2 linked regions of the Diceros bicornis minor genome follow. The protein of the gene in region 2 purifies or fractionates together with the protein of the main gene of each other region. This does not show direct contact. Links are inferred from orthologs where the notes say so. Each region holds a gene or a part of one and is shown on either strand. Other genes may lie near its edges.

Region 1 (7,132 bases), on a different chromosome or scaffold from region 2:
TCCAGGATTCCACTTCAGTAAAAAAATTGGGTCTCATGCAAAAAATTAAACAACAGAATGGATATGTTAAATGGACTTTAGATAGAAAGGTATTCTTTGCATTAAGAAAGGCCTAAGGTAAGAATCATCCAAGGGTCCATGTGGTCTTGATGAAGCAGTTACATGGAGTTTAGTATGATAGCTACGAGTAGCTCAAAGCTGTTGTACTGGGCTGAACTATGATAACTTCAGAGAAAAAGTCTGGGTAATTAATAGGTAAAAATGTTCTGTTACTCCAAAATTCTAGCTTCATGAGTACACACAGAGAAATGACAAAGACACTCCATAAATAGATGGATAATTTTCAAGCTATCTACTCTACAAAATGTGCAGAAACCTGTTGTCATTAATCTCTGGACAACCATGAAAATGCCTTCTAGCGGGAAACGATACGGCTCTTCACGTGCCACAGCTATCACCTCTCCACAGTCTGGGATAGGGCCACAGCCCTGTCTTAGGCACCTGGGGCACCGCTCAGGTTATCCTGGAGAACAGAAACAACTCTAAAACTCTAAGAAATCAATATGGATGGCTTTGCTTCGTCCTCAGTTGCAAATTTCAATTCAAAGCACAGCTGGGAAAATAAACAATCTTGAATTTCCCAAAGTAGAGATCCATTTTATAATACCCACAAAAATAAACTTGCTTGGCTTAAAGTTTTTTTTTTTTTAAGTGGATGAAAAAAAAAGGAAAGAACTTGGGCTGCACTGTCTTATTTCCTTACCTAAAGTAAAGTATTTCTTCTTTTAACAAAGAAAAAAATCATCAACCCGTTGTTCAATATACAGTGGAACCTCCCCCAAAATGCTAATCACTAGGGTCTTCTGTGCAGTGACAACTGTTAATGCAAACTATGTGGCCCATTGCTTTGAAGCTCTTCACTCTCCCAGACCCAGCTGCTATGGCTGTTGTTCACTGCCCTACAGAGTGACGCGCTGCCCACTGCTAACCTAGTGGGGACCTCTGCCCTCGGCTCAAATACTCTTCCTGCTCAGCTTTTATCTGTGGTAGGGTCAGAAGGCCTGATCAGCTAGCTGGGAGATAGGCTGCTTCCCCTACTAGAGCCATAACTACAGTCTCCAGCCATTTCTGGAGGTAGAGAGATAATACGAGCTTTTTCGGCTAGGAACTTCTGATATTATAATGATATCGTGAGCACGCAGGAGATTTGGCGGGAACTCCATGAAGGAGAAGCAAGAGAAATGGCCTAGTCAATAAAAAAAATGTGTTGAGACTCACATATCATTACACACAATGTTCCACTAACACTCTGGCTGAGGCCAGGTGGAGCCCCAGACAGGGGAGACCACTGCAAGTAATTGCTGGATGGGCTGGAAGAACTTCCAGAAAGAGGGAAGAGTTGGAAAGCTGACCTAAACGGGGGGAAGGTAAAGGGAGGTCCTTAAGCACCAGGACAAACACAAGCGTGGATGGAGGAGAAGGGGACGCTCATGAACACACACGGCCCCCATCATCAGAGTCACCCACAGAGCTCTGGGCCAGGCGCCCTCCTCCTAGCGCACCAGCCTGGGGGTGGCGACGGACTCTGCCCCGGCTGGCACAGGACTCTGGGTTACTTTCGTCCTCTAACCGAGTCTGCTTCCTCAAGGGCAAAGGGGGAGGACTGAGTTATTTGATGTCCATTCTGGTTTCTCCAGACATCAGCACACATTCGTAATATCAGGGGTGCTGGAATCCCGAGGCTGGTAGAGGTCGGTGCCCACTGACAGGCGGTGCTCAGCCCAAGGGGCTGTGGCAGTAGTCAGAGAAGAAGCCTTCAGCAGGAGCAAGTGTACCTCCACAGAGAGCAGAGAGGCCCTCCACCCAGGCCCAGCCAGCAAGTGCACCTACCTGACCGCCACACTGGCTTCTCACCCTCCTGTCAATTTTGGCAATTTCTTCATCTGGATCCTGCAAAAACTATCAGAAAACAACCCCCAGCCCCCAAGGAAACATGCCATACAGCCCAAAGACAGAAACACAGAGAGAGAAGAAAAAGAAAGCTGGTTAGGTTATGGGCACCATTTCTGCCCAACACACCCTCCTTAACCCCCAGCAATAAATATGTGGGCAGAGCCCAGTCCGGTACCCAGGTGAGACGGGGGATTCTCCCCCACCTGTCCCCTTTGTACTCACAACGGCCACATTTGCCTTCCTCTTCCTGGAGCGCACAGAGACATCGGCGCTGCTCTCCTCCTTCATGCTGTCCCGCTCCTTGGCATCTCTGCAGAGCCAGGGTGGCACAGAGGTAAGGGGGAGCCCGCCCCTCGGCCCGCCCCTCCCCCACCGCTGCACACCCTCCCCTCCCGAAGCGGCCGGCGCTCACCTCTCCCTCCTCTCCCGCGGCATGGCGCAGGGCGCGGGATCACACCTCAGGCCTGGGGGCACGAAGCGGGCAGCGGGGTGAGCACGGCCGGCGGAGGGGGTCGGGGCCCGCCGGCCCGCCCAGGACACCCCTCCCCCCCTGCGCGGGCGGCGGCGGCGGGAGCCTCCCGGGCCGGTCGGGAAAATGGCCGATGAGCCCGGGGTGGCCTGTCACCCGCCGCGCCGCCGGCTGCCCGCGATGCCGGGACCGAACCCGGGGTGGGGGCCCACACGCCCCCCGAAACCCCCGCCGGCCCATCGCCTCCCTCGGGGACCGGGCTGCCTCAGTCTCCCCCTCCACAGCTCGCCCTAGCCCGACCCAGAGCCGCCCTGGCCGGGCACCCGCGCTGACGCCCGCGGGGACCCGACGAGCCGGCCTCGCCCCGCCCCCACCCGGCCCGGCGCGGCCCGACCCGGCGCCCCGGGGGTCGCCGCCGCCCCGCCGCCCGCACCGCGGCGGCCCTCACCGAAGCGTCTCCGCGGCAGGTAGGCGGCACGCGCCAGCGGGCGCACAGGCAGGGGCGCGGGAAGCCGGAGGCGGGAGCGGCGGCGAGCGCGCGGCGGTGGCGGGATCCGCGCCTGCCCCCTACACCGCGCGGGCGGCCGAGCCGGCTGCTCCTGCGCCCGGCCGAGAGCGGGACATTTAAAAATCCTGCGCGCGGAACCGGCCCCCGGCCCGCCCTCGCGCCCTCCCGCCACCCTCCGCCCCGCCCCGCCGCCGCCCTCGGGCCCGCCCCGCCGCCGCGCAGGGCAGCCGGGCGCTCGGGCTGCGGGGGCGGGGCCTCGGGCGGGCCCGGTGACAGGGCCTGCGCGCTGGGGGCGGGGCCTGCCGCGGGGGGCGGGGCGGGGCGGGCGCGGGGACGACGGCGCGCGCGGCTTCGGGGCGGGCCGGGCGCCGGGGGCGGGGCCTCGGGGCAAGCCTGGTGACAGGGCCTGCGCGTCGGGGGCGGGGCCTGAGGGACGGGGCGGGGCGGGCGCGGGGAGGACGGCGCGCGCGCGGCCGAGGGGCGGGCCAGGCGCCGGGGGCGGGGCCTCGGGGCGGGCCCGGTGACAGAGTCTGCGCGCCGGGGGCGGGGCCTGCGCGCCGGGGGCGGGGGCGGGTGCGGGAGGACGGGGCACGCGCGGCCGAGGGGCGGGCCGGGCGGCGCTGGAGCGTCTAAAAGCCGCGTGGCCGGGACAAGTGGAATGTAAACACGGCGGTCGGCGAGGGTGTGCGCCCCGTAGGGGTCCTGCTGGCGTGGGCGGGGGGACGGCCCGTGCACCCGCTGTCCGTCGGCCGCGCGCACTGCCAGACCGTGCGCGTTCTGCCTGCCCCCGGATGCAGGGTTCCGGGCCCTCAGTCGGGGCGGGGATGCGCCCAAGGTCACAGCGGCTGGTCACCGGGGTAGAACCAGGGCCTATGGCCGCGGGTCTGGGGTCCTCTGTGGAATAGCGGTTATTCCAGAACGCACGTCCGTCCGTCTGTCCGTGCGGGCAGGCATGCAGTAAGCTAATCGTCGGGCATCTTCTGTGTGCCCCCCGCGCAGACTGCCCGGAACGTCGACCTTCCCGACGCCGGGATTCCACGCAGGCCTCTCCCGCTGAGGCCCTTCCGCGTTCCCCGTCAGCCTCAGGGTCCAGTCCACACTCCCTGCCCAGGCCTACAGGGCTGCACGGGAACCGGCCCTCACCGCTTCAGATCTCCCCTTCAGCCCCCACTCACAGCTCCTCCCCCACCCTCTCTCCTTTCTCACCGCAGGGCCTTGGAGCTTGTCACCTGCTCTGCCCCTTGGGCTGCCCCTCCTTCCCGTCAAGTTCTCCAGGGACCACTTAACCTAGAGCAGCCGCCTCCCCAAGAGTTCGTCTCCACCTCCTCGCCCTGCTGGGGCTCCTTCCCAGCACTTGTCACCATAGTCTCTTGCTCCTCCTTCGTTTCCTTGCCTGGTGTCCCTCTCCCTCCTTGTCAGCCTTGTTCACTGCTATATCCCCTGGCTCTTGGCACAGTGCCTGGAGGAAGGGAGGCACTTAAATCGGATTTGTGAATGAATGCTTGAAAAACATACACTGAGCAAACCCTCGTGGAGCTTGCAGGGCAGTGAGAGAAACAGGTATTCAACAATAGTCACTTGAAAGTACCTTCTGTACTCAACTTCTAGAGGAAACACACAGCTGGAGGGCTCCTAAACACTTCTAAGGCCCTTCCTGATGTACAGTCTTGAGTTTTGCACCCCCCCATGACTCCCAAAGTTCGAGCCTGCGTCTTATTGGAGAGTGTACTTTGTGTCGTCCCCACAAGGTCCCTGCTTGCGGACTGTCAACCTTCCAGGGGCTCTGCGGTCAACGCTGCTGAGATGACTTGCTCAGGTTGGCTTAGGTACACATGGAACCCAGACTCCTGAGCTCCCAGCCCTGTGCCCTTTAGTAATAACAATAACAGGTCTCATAAACAGCATTACAAAACGGCAGCTTTGGGCTGAATCCTTCAAAATGTTATCTCGGTTAAACTTCACACTAATCCTAGGATGTTGATATCATGATGATCCTATTTCATGGATGGCAACTATCTCCTTCCCATGATTATTGTGAGGATAGAGGGAGATAATGCAGATGACTCACTTGGTACAGTGCCTGGCTCATGGAAAATGCTGGATAAATGACAGTTGTTAGAACAATGATAAACAAGACTGAGTTTTCCTTAGTGGTTGTAGTAATTTATACTCCCACCAGCAAAGAATGAAAGTTCTAGATGTTCCATATGCTACCTGACCTGTTCATCAGTAGTACAATGGATAGGTAAATTTTGGTATGGTCATTCAATGGAATACTACACAAGAAGAAAAAGGACAAACCACTGAAACCTGCAGCAACGGGAATGAATGTCACAGACATAGCGGTGGGCACAAGACGCCGGACACAAAAGAGTATTACTGTGCGATTCCAGGTATTTGAAGTTTAAGAAAAGGCAAGACTAGGGTGGCCTCGGTCAGAACAGTGGTTACCTCTGGGGTGGGAGTAATGACTGGACGGGACCAGGGAACCTTCTGAGTACTGCACATGTTTTATGTCTTGATCCGAGTGGTGGTTATGTGGCTGTGTACATACATAAAAATTCATCGAGCTTTACACTTATGTTTTGTGCCCTTTGCTGAGTGCTCTTATACTTCAATAAAAAATGAAAGAATTATTTTTTGAAAAAATAATTGAAAACAAGGAAAAGCAAGACATAATCCCCGCCCACTTGGGAGGTTCTGGGCTGGAAGGGAAGAGGTTGTGTGGACTGGCAGTTGCAGTACAGAGTGATAATGGCTGGGATGGGAAAATTCTGGGGGCCATGACTTCATGTGGAGTTGGGGGGAGGGGGCATCCAACCTACTCTTGCATGCCAAGAAAGCTATATGGAGGAAGCAGCTTGAGGCCGGAAGGATGAATGAATTTGGCAGAGGCAGTGGAAACAGCCTGTACGCAGGCTTGGAGTCTTCAAGAGTCACTGATGGCCACTCGTCTGGGGCAGCTCACCTTTGGCTGTTTGGGTTCATTTCATTCTGTGCCTGCATCAGGCTCAGAGTGCCCAGGCATTGGCTCAGCCTCGAGGGAGACTCTGGATTGGACTAGAGGTGGTAGACCAGCTGCTGTGTAGGGAGGGCAGCATCTTCTCTCCACCATGAGACTTTGGGAGAGTTCCTTAACTATCTGTAAAATGGGGTGATTCTAATTAGTCCAACCTCCAGGGTTGCTGTGAGGAGTAAATGTGTTAATACCCATAATGTATTTGCAATAGTATTTAGGACATAATGCTCAATATGTAGTAATAATGATATCTATCAAGAAATTTGGGGTCATTTGCTTAGCTCCATGTGTGGTTCTGACCCCGACGATGGTGGAGGGGTAAAGACAGGAGCCAGGATACTAGGGGTAAGGAGAAGTAAGCCCATGGGGGTTGCTGGGGGGAAGTCCTTCCCAGACAGGATTCCTCAACCTGGGCCCCCAGACAGCCTTCAGGGGCCCAGGAAACTGCCCGCTGACAGAGCTGGCCCATCGTGTGCCCTTTTCTGGGAGGCTGGGGCACAGCTTTTACAGGACCCTTAAAGGCAGCCAACAGCAAGTTAAGGAGTGCTGCTGTGGTGAGAGTTGGTCAGGGAAGGCAAGGGCTATGGCTGGAGTGAGCTGGCCAAGTGTGGCCGCCTGGCTGAGCTGAAGGAGGGGGCTCTTGTAAGGCTACACATGGGGATACCAGAAGAAGAGGGCCCAACTGGCTCACCAGTGTGAGCGGTGGGGTGCGGCCAGGCACCAGGAGCAGGACACACGCCAGGGAGCTCGAGTGTGGGAAGGCCCCGGAGGCTTGGCTCCTGTCCTCCCACAGCCCTGGAAACCTGTCTGCACAGGCCTGCCAGGTTGGCTGGATTCAAGGGCCCCAATCCGTGCTCCCCAAGGCTTGGTTACCCTTCAGATCAAGCTCACAGTGCCATGGACTCCGAGGTGGGAGACTGGCAAAGCATGGTGGTCCCAGGCCTGGCCTAACCCCTCTTACACTGAGGAGCAGGTCCAGTCAACACTTCTTTAGCCCGAAGGCTGTGATCAGTTAAAGAACTCCAGTGAAAATTAAAATTGACCTTTAAACTCAGTATATGATAGAGCGATGATGGCAGCTGACACTTATGGATTCTGTGCTAAGCTCAGGGTTGCCAGGAACAGAGACTAATTGGAAGACACTTCAAGGAGTCGGGGGTGACAGCCCGGGGGTGGGAAGGCA
Region 2 (7,031 bases):
CCACATCTACCCCTCCCCACTCCACCTCTCACACTGAGTGGAGCCCACCATCTCAGCTGACGGGGAGGGGAGGCACTAGGCGAACTTAGACCAACTTTAAAGGGCAGGAGTTCGAACAGATATGAGACTTGTCCCCACACCACACAGCTAAAAAGGCCGAGGGCCACTGCTCCATAGATGGGTTACACAGTACAGGGGGCAGTGCCCTAAAATAACCTTTGCCCACTCTCTTCAGGGCAAGGGTTGGTATTCTTTTATGTATTTTTATGTGCCAAGGGCTGTTCTAAGAAGTTTACAAATATTAATTTTCCCAAAAAGTGAGTATACTAGCTCTTTTTCACAGAAGAGGTAACCAAGGCTCAGAGAAGTTAAGTAACTTGCCCAAGGTCACACAGCTCACAAGTGGCACGGCCAGGATTTGAAGCCAGGCCTACTTGCCCTGGGCTCTGTGCTCTGGTGTTGAGCCCTACTTCCTCCCTAATTTTGAGGTTTCTTAACCAGAGAGGCCCAGCAGAACCACTTGGGAAGCTTTTTCAAAATATAGATTGATAGGCCCCTCCCTCCCTAGACCAACTTAACTCAAATAGGAGGAGACTTAAACAAGTGTTTGGCGGTTGCCCAGATGGGCACTCTTGGGGTGCCCGCCAAGAGAGGACACACAGGATGGCTGAAATGGACACTCTGGGTCTCAGTGCCCCATTGGTACCAGGAGAAGCCTGCTTGGGTCTTTATCCGGGAGCTGGATATTCCCTGGCTTCTAGGAGCTGAAGATGGAACCAGAGTCCAGGCAGGGGCCCTCTCTGCTGCCACCACCTCTTCCCTTATGGCTCTCATAGGCTCCCCATCAAAATCTGCTCTGCCGCCCATTATCATAACTCCCAGCTCAGCGGGCACTCTTAGTTTTACAAACACGTAACTGAGAATAGCTTCCTTTGTAGGTCTTTGTGCCTTAGACTTCAACCATATTTTAATCCCCAAGTAAATAGTGAGCACTCGGTAAACACTGTTGAACCAATGGGGTGCTCTTTTTAAGCGGCGTTGGGGGTGCGGGGATCAGCCCAGGGGCAGCGGCGGGAAGGAGAGGCGGGCGAAGCCGCGCTCCGCGGGAAGGCGCGTTTGCTACTCGCGCCGGGGCCGCGAGGGGGCGCTGGCCCCCAGGAAATCACGCGCAGGGTGGGAGGGGTGTGGGCCGAGCCCGGGACAGGGGCCGGGAGTCGTGATGAGTCAGTTTCCTGCAAGGCGCTCCCCGCCCGCCAAAACTGCACTTCCACTCCGGCTGCGCGTCACCCCGGGTGGGGAGGGGGAGAGCGGGAGGGGGCCAGGGGCCGCGAACACGTCACGCTGAGGCAGCCAGGCTTCCGAAACCCCCGCCACTGTTAGGAAACCGCGCGCTCTCGCGCCGTCTCTGTGACACGCACACACGCGCGCACACACACCGCACGCACTCCACCTTATCTCCACACCCAAAGCACGGGATGAGTCAGATCCCTGGAAAATAAAAATAGACCGGAGTAAGGAAAACAAAACCGCTCGAAAGGCCTCCCCGAAACGCGACGTGGAGGGAGGGACGGAGGGAGGGAGCCGCCCGGGCGCCCTAAAGCGCCAAACCCAGTTCCAAGATTCTTTTCCGCGCGAGGAGGGCGCAAGGGTCCCCCGAGGGCCCGGGACAGGGCGGACGCGCTGTGGTCCGCGCTGGGCAGCTGTGTCCCAAGGACCACTCGCCCCCCTGCTCCGCCCAGTCCAGTCTCCCTCGGAGAGGGAATTCTCCACTAGGTTGGGGGCGCCCGGGCCCCCGGATGCAGGCGACAGAGGCCCTGAGCAGCGTCGCGCCCCCTGAAGCCCCACCCCTCAAAGACGCGACCCCACCCCGGCGGGGGCTGCGCGGCCCGCAGCGCCGCAGAACACCGCTCCCGCCCCGAGCCCATCGGCGCGCCCCAAGGGCAGGCTGGGCCGGGGGCTCCAGGCGGCGGGAGCGAGGTGGGGAGGACTCCTGCGCCTCCCGAACTGACCCGCGTGCGCCAGCCCACTCAGCGCGGGGCCGCGGCTCCGGGTCCCCGAGAGTGCGCCGTGGGGCGGGGACCGGACACCCGGTCCTGGATCTCCCGGTGTCTGGGCTTCCCTGGGAACACTCTGTGCCAGCCAAATAGGTCACTGTGTTTATGGGGGGGACAAACCGAGGAGGGGTAGGGAAGGAGACTTCTGCGTCGCCACTGTCCCCCAGCCCGGGCGGGGTTCTGATCTCACTCGGCCCGTTCCCCGGGGTCTCCTTGTCACCGTGAGTCACCCTCTCGCTTGCCCTTAAGGGACGTGTCCTGACACGTTCCCATGGGCCAGGGACACAGCTCGCGCTGACCTCAGCGCCACCGGGTGGCGGACACGGCGGCGTCGAGGACCCAGACCTCAGGGGTTCGGGCCGGGGCGGCACCGATCAGATCCGAGAGCCGCCCGGGAGCGGATCCCAGAGGAACCTGCTCGGGTCGGCGCTCCCCGCCCCTCCCGGGCCCCTCGGCGGACAGGGGTGCATCCTTACGCCGCGAGCGAGCCGCGCGGGGGGCCCGGGGCGCACCCGCCGGGCGGAGAGCTCCTGGGGCGGCGGGTCCACACCTTCCCCCGCCCCAGCTGTGTTTCAAGGGGACGGCAGCGTGGCAGGGGACCTTCATACTGTGCTCCCTCCCCAACACATCCCGACCCCCGTCACACGCGCGCTTACAGACACCCGTGTGCGCAACGCCGAGACCCACGCGCAGACCCACTCACGTCATTCACTTGTGAACACAGCACACACCCCCGGATACACACGTCCCCGCGGACACAACACACGGACATGCAGGGATACACACACGGACACGCTCAGCTCAGCTCAAGCCGCCTCCTGGGTCCGCTCTTGCCCGCCGTGGCTCCCTCACCTCCTCCGAGGGTCTCGGGGTCTCCGTGAATCCGCGCCCGGCTCCGGGTCTCCGAGCTACCGACCGGGGCAGCTGCTCACACCTCCGCTGGCGCCGCCGGGCGCAGCCCATGTAAAAAGGCTCGGCCCTGGAGGCGGGACCGCTGGCTCCACCCCCAGCGCGCCTGGACCGCCTCCCGGGACCCGCGGCTGCTCCCCGGGCCTGGCCGCGCTCCAGCTCCGCGGAGCTCCGAGGCCGACGTCGCGTGCTGCCCGAGCGCGCTCCCTTCCCCGCACCCCCGGCCTGGGTTGTGCGCTTGACACATTTCCCCACGAATTGAGCCACAAATCTGGGTATTTTTAGCTGGGGAGAGAGTTGGCGCTCCCCAGAAGGGGATGGCGTTGTTAGGATGAGCCCCTTTCTGGCCCACTGCGGGCCGACTCTGGGCGAGGATTTACCGAAAGCAGCTGAAAAGACCAGGGGTGACGTTAATAAATGAAAGTCCTTAAATAATAAAAATGATGCGTCTCACTTTGCACTCCCCAGAAAAGCCCCACTCTACCAGCGCTGTTCCCGCGGATCCCTCACTACACCGCCTCTCCCCGAGCACCTGGGGCACCCAGACACCCCAACAGAGCCTCTGGGAGGCCAGAACGGAATTCAATCCCCTTTATTTCACAAACGAAGAAACTGAGGCCCACAGAACTAAAGGGATGCAAAGCTGTTGCTCATCAAATGCCTCGGGGAAGGAGGGAATTGGAGACACTTCCCAGAAAGGGCCCACGTCTCTCCAGGGGAAATCTGACATTGAACTAAGCTCCCCACCCCCTCCTGCTCCCCACACCCACCTCTCTCTCACCTCAACAGAAGAAACCTCTGTGACTGCAGCTGATTTGATGGCAGGAAGGGCAGAAGGATTTGGTGAGTTGTCTCCTGGATATTCCTCACACAGCCCACATTCACTGCTGGGTAAACTGAGGCTCAGAGAAGTTCATTGACCTGGCTCAGGTCACACAGCAAATAAATGGCTGTGGTTGGAACATAGGCCTTTTGCGTCTCACCCAGAGCTCTCTGCCTGTTGCCCCCTCTATTTCAGTGGCTCTAGAAACACGAGAATGGGGAGACACCAGCACCCCTCATTTCCAGGCAGCTTACTGAGGTGACATTGAGGAAGGACAGTTCTGGAAATGTCCACTGGCACTCTTGACCGATACAGAAGCAGGTGAGGTGCCCATCTGCTCCTTCCTACCTCCGCACCCCCCAGCCCTGCTTGCACCTCACCTTTGCCTCCTTCCTTCACCTAAAACATTTGCAGTTTCTGCTTTTAAAAAAATTGCAGAGAACAGAGTGTTAATCTGAACAGAATTCCCACTAAAAAATAGAATCCACGCTTGGAGCAGCTGCAGTTGCTGACACCTAGGGCTGTTCGGCGTCTGGAAATCTCTGCCCGGACATGCCCAGTTTTCTTCCTCTAATGCAGCTGACCTCAGGGAGGACAGGCCTCCTCCTTCACTGCTGGGATGGAGCCAGGGTAGGGGCGGGAGGGCGTGGCACCTGACCCTCTGGCCTGCCTGGTATTGGAGTCAGGCCAGGGTTGTAGCCGGACCTCAGGAGGGCCTCAAACAGGCCAGGACCCCAGGACCAGCCCCCTGCTCCCCAGCTCCTTTCTCCACACCCCCAACACACACACCCACACCACCCGAAGCCTAGGTTGTCAAATGTCCAGCAGGGGACAAGCATCTCCTCCTGCCTTAAATCCCCTTGGCTCTCAGGCATTTCAAATAGACTTGACATTGTCTGCCTGTTTACTCTGGGGAAAAAAATTTTTTAATGAAGGCTTGTATTGAATTACTTAAAGTTTTGTGGTCCTGAGCTTCACAATGAAATAATTCTTTTTGTTGTTGTTGTTGGGAAGTGAGGTTTTTTTTTTTTTTAATAACTTCTAGCTCAACACCACCACCACAACAGAATTCAACAAATATTTATTAGGCACCTACTAAGTGTCTAGTGCTTCAGTACTCAAAAGAAAGTGTCCAACCCTACACCTGAACGTGTAGCTAGGCATGCCCTTAAGGAGGACTTCCGCTCTGAAGAGAGCAAAGGAGAAGGTTGTTAGAAGTCACACTCCCCAAACACACACACACACACACACACACACACACACACACGTGTGCACAGAACAGGTCCCAGGCCAATCTCAAGGGATCTGCTGCAAACCACATATTCCGTTCAGAGAAATTCAGACCAAGCTCTCACAGGGGTCTCTGGGCGTCTTCTGTCTGCTACCACCCTCCTCTCCCCCCAAAGCAGGCAGCCCCAGGGACAAAACAGCCACTGGCCTCTTCTATGTCAGGGCTCAGCATGTTGAGACATGTTCTTGAGGGCCAGAGAGCCAGTCAGGACCACAGCCTGCTGCCCAGGCATGCTCCCCAGGCATGCTCCCCAGGAAGCAAGCAGCTTAGGGACGGAGCGAGGCTCAGCCTGGGGGCGAGAGGGTCCAGATCAGCCCCCACCCAGGAGGCAGGTGATGACGGAAAGGAAAGGTGGAAAGCTGGAGCCTGAAGAAGGAGGATGTGAGGAGGGCTCAGAGGTGTCTGCAGGAGTACCCAGGAAGGGAGAGGAAGTTCTGGGAACAATGTCACCATTTCTCAGAAAAGGCCCGGGGAGTCCCAAACGGGCAGCCAGCTTTCAGAGGAATTTACCTCCACACAGGCCTTCTAAGAAGTGAGACCCCAGAAAAGAGGGAGAACAGAGATATTATTATACTACTGAGCAGAAGAAGCCTTGCTTACTTCTTTTTTTTTTTTTTTTGAGGAAGAAGGAGATTGGGAACCCCCACCCTGACCTTCTGGAGGCTTTACCCAGCCAGTACAAAGATCAGGACTGACCACAGAGTTAGGCAGAGAAATTTGTAACAGAATTTGTGCCACATAAACACTTCTAGCCTCCCTAAGCTAGAAATTTCACCTTGCCTAAGCCTGAAATTTCACCGTTAGAAATTCATTCCTTTGGCATGAATTCTTGCTTCATCAGATAAGATCATGTAGGCAAAGTGCTTAGCATAGTGCCTGGCACATAGAAATCACTCCATGAATACTAGTTATTATTATTGCTCTACAAATGTCCCTGGGGAAGGCATCCCTTGGAATTGAGTAATCATTTATACTTTGGGGTATCTTAGGTAGGTTTCCCAGAAAACACACTCTGCAGTAGAGACTTGCTTGAAGGAGGTTTCTTGGGACTGCATTTGCAATCAGCATCTGTGGGACCATAAAGGAAACAGGATTGGGCAGAGAGAGGAGTTGGGCCGAGATGGAGGCTGGAGGCCCCAGAGAGGCCTCTGTTGAGCCCACAGGGAGCTCTTGAGCTAGGAGTTCCCTGAATGGAAGCAAGGGGGTTGGGCTTTTGTACCCCTGCTTCAACCAGTCTTTTGGATGTGGCTGTCCCTGGAGCAGAGGGGTGCATGAACTTGGGCAAGAGAGCTCCTTTATCTGAGGCTGATTCCTAAAGAAGGGCTCAGCTGAAGCATCAGTGCCAACACTCGCAACAGCCAGTGGGGAGAACGAGTGCCTGGCTCCTGCAGAGGCTTCTGGGTGGCACAGCACAGAGTGAATGAGTTGATCAGATCATTTAGGGACTAGAAGGTGGTGAGGAAATGCTGTGAACACAGGCCACCTGAGGAGTGAAGGGCTCTCTGTACCTTTGCACATATTGTTCACTCTTCTTGGAATCAGTGTTTCTTACCAACCTACCTCATCTCTACTCCTTTCTTCACGTGTTGAACTCCTATTGATCCTTCATGACCCAACCTACGTGACCCCTTGTGGGGAGGCCTTCTCAGGGCTCCCTCTGGCTCCCAGAGCTCCTGGTGAGTAATCCACTCACTGTGCTTCGCTGGCCTGCTGGGTTTACATGCCTGTGGCATCCTCTGAGCTGGGAACTGGTGGGGATAAGCCATATTTTATTCATCTTTGTACCTTCAAGGCCTAGCAGCCTCAGCCGGAGTTCAATCAATATTTATGGAAGGGCCATTTTTGACTTGCACTCTGAGGTTAGGCTTTAGTGCCGCTGCATCTGAGCCCTCTCTCTTATTTATTCATTTGTCTGTTCACTCATTCATGCATTAAAATATATATATATATATAT

The links. The genes of interacting proteins can lie anywhere in the genome.
Region 1: the proteins of CDKN1A (region 2) and CCNE1 purify together in Homo sapiens (affinity purification with western blotting; 19 studies listed by BioGRID and IntAct, with this or other methods). This does not show direct contact. The link is inferred for Diceros bicornis minor from reciprocal best matches to the Homo sapiens genes CDKN1A and CCNE1.

What each region holds. Positions count from the first base shown.
Region 1 is NC_080773.1:3,988,238-3,995,369, reverse strand, and holds the start of CCNE1 (G1/S-specific cyclin-E1), read right to left. Parts: upstream 3,013-7,132; 5' UTR 2,871-3,012; intron 2,418-2,870; 5' UTR 2,389-2,417; coding exon 2,366-2,388; intron 2,264-2,365; coding exon 2,176-2,263; intron 1,960-2,175; coding exon 1,891-1,959; intron 1-1,890. UniProt on the Homo sapiens protein: Essential for the control of the cell cycle at the G1/S (start) transition.
Region 2 is NC_080753.1:28,265,000-28,272,030, forward strand, and holds the start of CDKN1A (cyclin-dependent kinase inhibitor 1), read right to left. Parts: upstream 3,001-7,031; 5' UTR 2,907-3,000; exon of another isoform or gene 2,841-2,906; intron 1-2,840. UniProt on the Homo sapiens protein: Plays an important role in controlling cell cycle progression and DNA damage-induced G2 arrest. Involved in p53/TP53 mediated inhibition of cellular proliferation in response to DNA damage.